2 linked regions of the Macaca fascicularis genome follow. The protein of the gene in region 1 purifies or fractionates together with the protein of each later gene. This does not show direct contact. Links are inferred from orthologs where the notes say so. Each region holds a gene or a part of one and is shown in the gene's direction. Other genes may lie near its edges.

What was found.
Region 2: the proteins of TFAP4 (region 1) and FBXW11 purify together in Homo sapiens (affinity purification with mass spectrometry; 7 studies listed by BioGRID and IntAct, counting the BioPlex papers as one, with this or other methods). This does not show direct contact. The link is inferred for Macaca fascicularis from reciprocal best matches to the Homo sapiens genes TFAP4 and FBXW11.

Annotation. Positions count from the first base shown.
Region 1 is NC_088394.1:5,061,266-5,065,916, reverse strand, and holds the start of TFAP4 (transcription factor AP-4), read left to right. Parts: upstream 1-1,639; 5' UTR 1,640-1,898; coding exon 1,899-1,987; intron 1,988-4,651.
Region 2 is NC_088380.1:178,667,121-178,671,143, reverse strand, and holds part of FBXW11 (F-box/WD repeat-containing protein 11), read left to right. Parts: intron 1-2,231; coding exon 2,232-2,350; intron 2,351-3,907; coding exon 3,908-4,023.

The DNA of each region.
Region 1 (4,651 bases):
GCTCACTGCAGCCTCCACCTCCTGGTTCAAGCGATTCTCCTGCTTCAGCCTCCCAAGTAGCTGGGATTACAGGCATGCGCCACCACGCCCCCGGCTAATTTTGTATTTTTAGTAGAGACAGGGTTTCTCCGTGTTGGTCAGGCTGGTCTTGAACTCCCGACCTCAGGTGATCCACCTGCCTCAGCCTCCCAAAGTGCTGAGATTACAGGGGTGAGCCACCGCACCCGGCCGAAAGTTTGTTTGTTTGTTTGTTTTAAATAAAAATATAGTAAGCCTTCCAGAGACTTTTTTTGTGAAGTGGTCTGGGATCTCTCCTTAGAGAAACTGCCTAACAGGTTGCTTCAAGGATTGGAGAGCATGTATGCAAAACTGTTCTGCATCCACCGGGTGCTGGCAACATCTAATAACAATATTTCCCAATAATAACAGTAACTATTGTTACTAGTAGGAATAAGTCAAATTAGGAGGCGCGATTTAGGCGGAACCTGGAAGGCTGTGGGCAGGATCCAGGACATTCCAAGGCAGGCGTGGGCTTCCTGAGCCAGAAGCCAACCCTCCAGGAGCCAAGGGAGGGCCTGGGGCCGGAAGGTGGGGCGTGCGAGCGGAGGACGGAAGCTCGCCGCCAGGGTCCCCGTCCCTGCCCTAAGTCGTCACCCCCTCGTAGGGAGCGCACCCTGGCGGAGGTGCAAGTCCCACTCGGGCTTTGTTATGAATGAGAAGCTGCAGCCTTCAGCCCGCGGAGGGAACAGTGGGGGTCTGGGGGGAATAGCAGGACACCCGGCAGCAACCAGCAGACCTCCCGGCAGCGCCGGCAGCCTGGGCCCGGGGGCCGCTGCCGTTCGGGCCCGCCTCCACCTTCCCCTCTCCGCCGGGGGCCCGGGTTTCCTAGGGCGGCCCCAGCATCCGAGGCGCCCTTTGCCGTCCCCTCGCCAGGTCCAGGATTCCCAGGATCCGGAGTCCTTGCCGTGCGTCCAGCGGCGCGCAGCTCAGCAGGGAGGGAGAGAGGAGGCTGGCCGGCCTCGGAAGTCAGCCCCAAGTTACATGTGGGAAGCGGTGGCTGTGACGCAAGTTTCCAGGGGGCCCTGGGCTTGGCTCGAAGGGAGCACACCGGAGAGGCTCCGCTCGGTGCAGTTGCAATGGTGAAAAAGCAGAAGCCCCAAGCGCGAACCCCAGGCCGCCTTCCTTGCTGCCGCAGCACGCCCGACCCAGCCGCGCCCCCTCCTCCCCGCGGGCCGGCCGAGCGCGCGGACCCTGCACTGGGCAGTCGCCGCTGGACCCCGGGCTGCACAGGCTGGCCTCCCCGCGCGGTGGCTGGCCTTTTTTTTTTTTTTTTCAACGCTTGCCAACCTGTCAGCTGATGGACCTCATCACCCATAGTGGCGCATGTAGCTCGGCCGCAGCTCGCTCCATTCACGCCGCGCCCCCCAAGCCCGCCCGCGGCCCCCGGCCCCCTGTGCCCAGCGAGAGGCCTGCAGACCCCGGCTGCAGCCGGTCCCCGGGGGCCCGCGCCCCTCTCGCCCCGGCCTCGCGCCGCCTGGGGGGCGCTGCAAATAGTCCTTTGTTTACATGCAATTCCTTACTCCGCGGAAGGAGGCCGGGGGAGTGCTGAGTTTTCACCAGCTGTTTCCCGCCTTGAAACAGACATCTGATCAGCTGCAAACACACACACACACACACATACACACGCCCGGGGAGGCAGGCCGGAGAGACCTCCCTCCCGCCCCTCCCGCCCGCCTCCCTCCCCTCGCAGCCGCCGCCGCCGCCGCCGCCGCCGCCAGCATCTGGGACCGGCCGATTCTGCACCTCCGTCCGGCGCTGCCCTTTGATTCGGATTTCCATCTTGCATTCTCCGGCTGATCGCGGGACCTGGCTCGTGCAGAGGAGGGGGGCCGATCGCTATGGAGTATTTCATGGTGCCCACTCAGAAGGTGCCCTCTTTGCAACATTTCAGGAAAACAGAGAAAGAAGTGATAGGAGGGCTCTGTAGGTGTGTACTCCTCCTTCCCCCACCCCCTTCCTACCATTGCAGCCCCCGGCTAGCCCGCCCGGGCGGGCGCGCGTGTGCGCACGCATGGCCCGCGCCGCCGACCCCGCTAGCCTTTCTTAGCTGCCGGGACGGCTGCAGCCCCACGCGCCGGGTTCGCGCCGCCCCGGGACCCTCCTCCCTTGGAGCATGGGGGCCCCAAGCGGCCCCGGCCACTTTTGTCCGCTGCAGGCGGGCGAGTCGCAACGTTTGTAAATTGCAAACAGACCCACGTGGTTCTGCAGCAGTCCCGGCCATGCTTGGTGCTGGTGGCCTTCCCCCCCGCGCTTCCTCTTTCCCCCTCCCGCGGCGGCTTCCTTCCTCTCCTTCCTTCCTCGCGATCTTAGGTCGTCCCCATCCAAGGGGGTCTCGGGGGCCGGGGCGCGCGTGGGGGTGTAGCTAGGGCGGCTACAATGCAGCCATGCCGCGGCTCCCGGCGCGGGGTGGGGGCGGGGAGCCGGGCACTGTGCGTGTTTGCAGAGTGGGGCTGCAGCGGGGTTGGGGGCGTGCTCGCGTGTGGGTGTGGGGGGTGGGCGGGCCCCGAGGGGCCCGCGCGGCCGGTAGGGGCGCCGCGGCCCGGGGCACGTTGGCTGCCGCTCGCTCGCCCGCCCGCTCCCGGGCGCTGTTTACTAGCGAGGCCTGGACGTGACTCTGCAGCCCTCTTGGAGTAGGCGGACCTCTGCGCGCGGCCTCGCGGGAGCTGTAGTTCTCCGCATCCTGCTGGTGCAGCATTGTGGGATTTGTAGGCGCTCCTGGGCCACGCTTTCCCTGCACAAAGCTCGGACCCATGGGCACGGTGGGCAAGGCAGGCCAGGTGGGCAGGCCTTTTGGGGAGGGGACACCTGAGGCTGCCTCTAGCCTCGCAGGGCAGCTTCCCGCCGCACGTGGGTTTCCTCTGCAAACTTTCCCATCCAACGCCCCTCCCCCTGCCGTAAATCGAAAGCGTCGGGTCCCCAGGCGGGGTGGGTGGCCCGAGATCCGCAGGCCTCCCCAGAAGCCACTTTGCAAGCTTTGGTCCTAGGTTGCTCGAAACCCAAAGGGTGATGGATTCAAGGACCACACACAGCTAAACCACCCCGCACACTTCTTAAAATGCACATGCCTGGAACTCTGATCGCTGGCGCCCGGACATCTGCATTTTGAACGACCCCCCGGGCGGGGTATGGGGGAGGTGGGCGTTCTACGGAGTGCGCAAGTTTGGGACCTGCGGCCCCTTTCCTGCCGCGCTGCTCCAGGAGCGAAATGGCTCCCCAGGGCTGGAGCCACGTGCTCTGCCGCCCGAGGCAGTCTGGGCGGGGATTGAGGGAGGAGGAGCCCGCCGGTGTGGCACAGGCTGGTGGTCACTAGCGCCTCGGAATCCGGCCTGGAGGGAAGGTTGCTGCACACGTGTAGACAACTCCTGCCCAACCCGCTGCCCCAGGGGTCCCCACCTTAAGGCTACTCTGAAGTTCCCAGTCAATACCTAGACTTGGGCCAGATGATGGGTTTGGCAGCTGGCAGGGATGCCCGGCTGGCCCTTGCACGAGGCCCACCTGGAGGACCCAGTAATAATAAGTAAAAAAAAAAAAATTGTTGAGCTGTTTTTAGGTTCTGGGGGCTCACTTTGCTAGAATTTTCTCATTGAATTGTCATAATCTTTCTATGAGTCGGAAGTGTCTTTTGATTCTGTGTAAAGAGGACACAGAGACTGGAGAAGGGACCACTACAGCAAGTGGTAGAGCTGGAACTTGAACCCTTGTCCTGGGGTTGCAGGCTGCTGCAGGGCTGGGCTGGGCAGCCTGCTGTGGTGCAGTTGAGCTGCTGTGCCTGCTGGAGAGGACATTCTGGGCCTGATCCTGGGCAGGGTTGGGGGGCCCTCTGGCTGCCATGCCTGGGCCTTGGGTGAGTCCTCTCAGGGCCCCCTAAGATTCTGGCTTCAATTTATCCCTGCCCCAAGCTTCCCTTTGGAGGATACCAGCAGTCCTCTAGAGTAGCTGGATCTTGGTAGGCCAAGGGCTTGAAGGTGTAGAGCCTTCGCCCAGGGTTGGGCACAGCAATGTCCATTGCAAGACAGTTGTCAGCTGTGCATTAGGCGTGGAGTTGGGGGTCCTGGATTTGTTTATCTTCAGTAGGGGTTGCAGGGTGAGGTGGGAAGCCTGTCCGGGATCAAACGTGTGCTTTAGGCAGGACTTTCTGGCCAGATGCATTTGCTTTTCTGGGTCATCTCAGGCTGGTGGGCTTTGCTCCATCCCTCAGTGACCAGCAGGGATTTCCCTTTCTGTCTCCCAGGCCTGCCAGAGGGGAGTGTAGGGCACAGTGCTGCGCACACAAGCTGCAGGTTTTGGACCTGTCGCCTAATGGTTCTGTCTCTGGAAAACAGTGCACCTGTGAGAAAATTAGCTATGAGTATGGAAAGTGCCTGGTAGCTGTTAAAATGACATTCAGTCTTTTTTTTTTTTTTGAGACAGAGTCTCACTCTGTCACCCAGAATGGAGTTCAGTGCTGCAATCTTGGCTCTCTGCAACCTCCGCCTCCTAGGTTCAAGCGACTTTCCTGCCTCAGCCTCCCAAGTAGCTGGGATTGCAGGCATGTGTCACCATGCCTGGCTAATTTTTGTATTTTTAGTAGAGATGGGGTTTCACCATGGTG
Region 2 (4,023 bases), on another chromosome or scaffold:
AGTAGAATAAAGACAGAGGACTAACACTACCGTACTTCAAGAATTACTGTAAAACTGCAGTAATCACAATAGTGTGGTGCTGGCAACAGAATGGACAACTAGATCCATGGAACAGAATAGAGAGCCCAGAAATATATACCTTCATAAATATAGTCAGCTGATCTTTTGCAAAGGAGCAAAGACAATACAGTGGAGAAAAGATTGTCTCCAACAAATGGGGCAGAAGCAATTAGATACCATATTGCCTCCCTTACCCCTAAACAATCTAAACACAGATCCTATGTACTTCACAAAAATTAACTCAAAATGGATTAAAGACCTAATTGTAAAACACAAAACCATAAAATTCGTAGAGTATAACATAGGAGAAAATCTAGATGATCTTGAGTTTGTTGATGACTTTTTAGATATAATACCAAAGGCATGACCCATGAAATAAAGAATTAATAAGCTGGACTTTGTTAAAATTAAAAATTTCTGTGAGAGACGTTGTCTAGAGAATGAGAAAACAAGCCACAGACTAGAGAAAATATATGCAAAAGACATACAAAGAACTCTTGAATCTCAGCAGTAAGAAAATAAACAATTAGATTAACCTGATTTTTAAAAATAAGACATAGACCTTAACAGACATCTCACCAATATACAGATGGCATATAAGCATGTGAAAAGATGTTCCACATTGTAAGTCATCAGGGAAATGTGAATTATAACAGTGAGACACTACTACACACCTGTTAGCATGGCCAAAATCCAGAACACTGACAACACCCAATGCTGGCAAGAATGTGGAGCAATAGGAACAGGAACTTTCATTCATTGCTGGTGGAAACAGAAAATGGTACAGCCACTTCAGAAGGCAGTTTGGCAGTTCTTACAAAACTAAACATACTTCTACCATATGATCCAGCAGTGTTGCTACTTAGTATTTACACAACTGAGTCAAAAACTTACATCTACACAAAAACCTGCACCCAGATGTTTATGGCAGCTTTACTGATGATTGCCCAGACTTGGAAGCAACCAGGGTGTCCTTCAGTAGGTGAATGGATAAATAAACTGTAGTATATCTAGACAATGGGATAATCTTCAGCACGAAAAAGGAATGTATATCAAGCCATGAAAAGACAGGGAGGAACCTTCAGTATGTATTACTGTGTGAAAGAAGCCAATGTAAAAAGGCTTCATACTGTATGATTCCAACTCTGTGACATTCTGGAAAAGACAAATCTATGGAGGCAGTAAAAGAAGCGAGAAGAGGAACACTCAGAGCATGAAAACAACTGTTGACAACATTTTACCTCCTTTAATCCTTTTTTCCTTTTCTAAAATACAGTCATTGTGTCACTTTATAGATAATTTTTATTCTGATTTTTAAAAAATGCTTAACTTTGTAATAAAGCATGATCTTTTCTCATTAAACACTTTTCATAGTTTACTTTGAGACTTTTATGAAATGATGGACGTTTCATTTTCCACTTTTTATTTTTGTAAATGTAGGGGTATGCATTTGTAAAAGGTCTTAATAATTAAATGTTGTCATGTTGCTTTCCAGAGAGTGAGCCAGTTCTTTTTTTATTAATTAATTTATTTTTACGAGACATAAAAATAAAATGACAAAGCAGGGTTCTGCTTTGTCACCCAGGCCGGCATACAGTGGTATGATCATAGCTCACTGAAGCCTTGCCTTCTGGGCTCAAGCAATTCTGTCACTTCAGCCTCCTGAGTAGCTGGGACTACAGGGACACACACCACCACGCCTGGCTAATTAAAAAAAAAAAAAAACGCACACACACATACACACACACATTTATGGAGATTGACTTGCTATGTTGCCCAGGCTGGTCTTGAACTTCTGGGCTCAAGCGATCCTTCTGTCTCTGCCTCCCAAAATGTTGGGATTATAGGCATGAACCACAACACCCAGCCAGTGAGCGAATTCTTTTCACAGATTTTATTTTTAAAAAGTCCCCTTTATGAGGCTGTTGATAAGTGTAATAAGATCAATAGCTAAGGGTTCAAATTAAGCAAAATAGCACATCTATCCTTGTAGTTAATCACTATTGTCTGTATTCCTACTTGTCATTTCTTACCTGTTTGATATTCAGTGTTTCTTACTTACTATAACCCAAGTGTGTTTTATTTTATAATCAGAACATAAAGTGGGACAGTAACATTCATCAAAATATAGTATAATAAATCATCGTTTGTGGCTAATCTTGTCTCAATAGATTTGGGATAAAACCAGCCTGGAATGTTTGAAAGTGTTAACGGGACACACAGGCTCTGTCCTCTGTCTGCAGTATGATGAGCGTGTCATTGTAACCGGCTCTTCAGATTCTACGGTGAGGTGAGTGATCTGGCTTCATTGGTCTTAACTTGTAAGCCTTCCCTGAGAAAGTCTGAGATTGACATCCTCCTCTGGGAGAGGCATACACACACTTACATTTTTACATGCTGTATTTCAAACTTTTATTGTAGATATGTTTGAGCAAATTAGGCAGGAAAGCTAATTTTTGTTAAGGGTGTTCTATTCCTGTTGCTGTTCATTATAGAGATGACAACATGCTTTCCTGTAAGAGCATATACCAAGTATTAGGCTGGCTTTCTTCTTTTGGGAAACTGGTCCAGAGCAGAGAGGAGACACTCACTTCCAGGAGTCACTCCCGGACTCTTTCACCACCCCTGCCTAAAGCATCACCACCCGTGCCTGAAGCATCACCACCCCTGCCTGAAGCATCACCACCCCTGCCTGAAGCATCACCACCCCTGCCTGAAGCATCACCACCCCTGCTTGAAGCACGCCTGGTATCCTCTCCTGGACTCAGTGCTTCCGTACCACTGCTTCTGCCAGAGATCATGTCTCAGCCTCAGAGGCCTGAGTCTTTTCCCCTCTGCCCTGTGTGAACTTGTCCTCTTAGGAGATGAGGGTTACAGAAAAGCCATGATGTGGAAGTGCTGCCCCCAGATCCCTGGACATACAAAGCAGTTGGGAGACCCTGGCTTTGTCCATAAAGCAGCTGAGTAAAGAAGTGGATGTGGTGATTGATGAGGCATCATGACTTACCCAGTTTGCAGTGGATAAATAATAGACTCAGAGGTCTGCCAGAGGTCAACAAGAACTGTAAGCTTGGAACCATTCTCAGTTCTTCAGCCAACAAAGCTCCTTCTTCCTTTTATCTCAGACTCAATACAAAATCTGCTTTCTTGAGGAATTGTCTTTTGCCATCAGCATGAGCCTGCAGACACCGTCCCTGAATACCTGACTGCTAAATATACCTAAACTCGAGCAGAGCCAGAATTAGCCACCTTTTCTGAAACCATCTCAGCACTTCTCAACAAATAAAGAAATTGCTTTTTAGGGGCACCTTTTAATCATGCCCTTAGGTTCATTAAGAATGGACCCTGTCTTAGTCTATTTGTGTTGCTATAAATGAATACCCGAGGCTGGGTAATTTATAAAAGAAAAGGGGTTTATTTGACTCATGGTTCTGCAGGCTCTGCAAGAAGCATGGTACCAGCATCTGCTTCTGATGAAGGCTTCGAGCTACTTCTCCTCATGGCAGAAGGCAAAGGCGAGCCAGTGTATGCAGATTACATGTGAGAGAGAAGCAAGAGAGAGGGCGGAGCTGCTAGGCTCTTGTCAACAGCCAGTTCTCTCAGAACTAAGAGTGAACTCCCTCCTATGAGAATGGCACCAAGTCATTCGTGAGGGATCCACCGCCATGACCCAGACACCTCCTGTCAGTCCCCACTTCCAACCCTGAGGATCAGTTTCAACATGAGATTTGGTAGAGTCAGACAAACCATATCCAAGCCATTGCAGACCCAGACAGAACTCAGATGCCAGAATCATTTCCTGGCTATCTCCGTAATTAAGCATCATGCTTTTTCTCTTCTCTCCTAGGGTGTGGGATGTGAACACGGGTGAAGTTCTTAACACATTGATCCACCACAATGAGGCCGTACTGCACTTACGCTTCAGCAATGGACTGATGGTGACCTGTTCCAAGGACCGCTCCA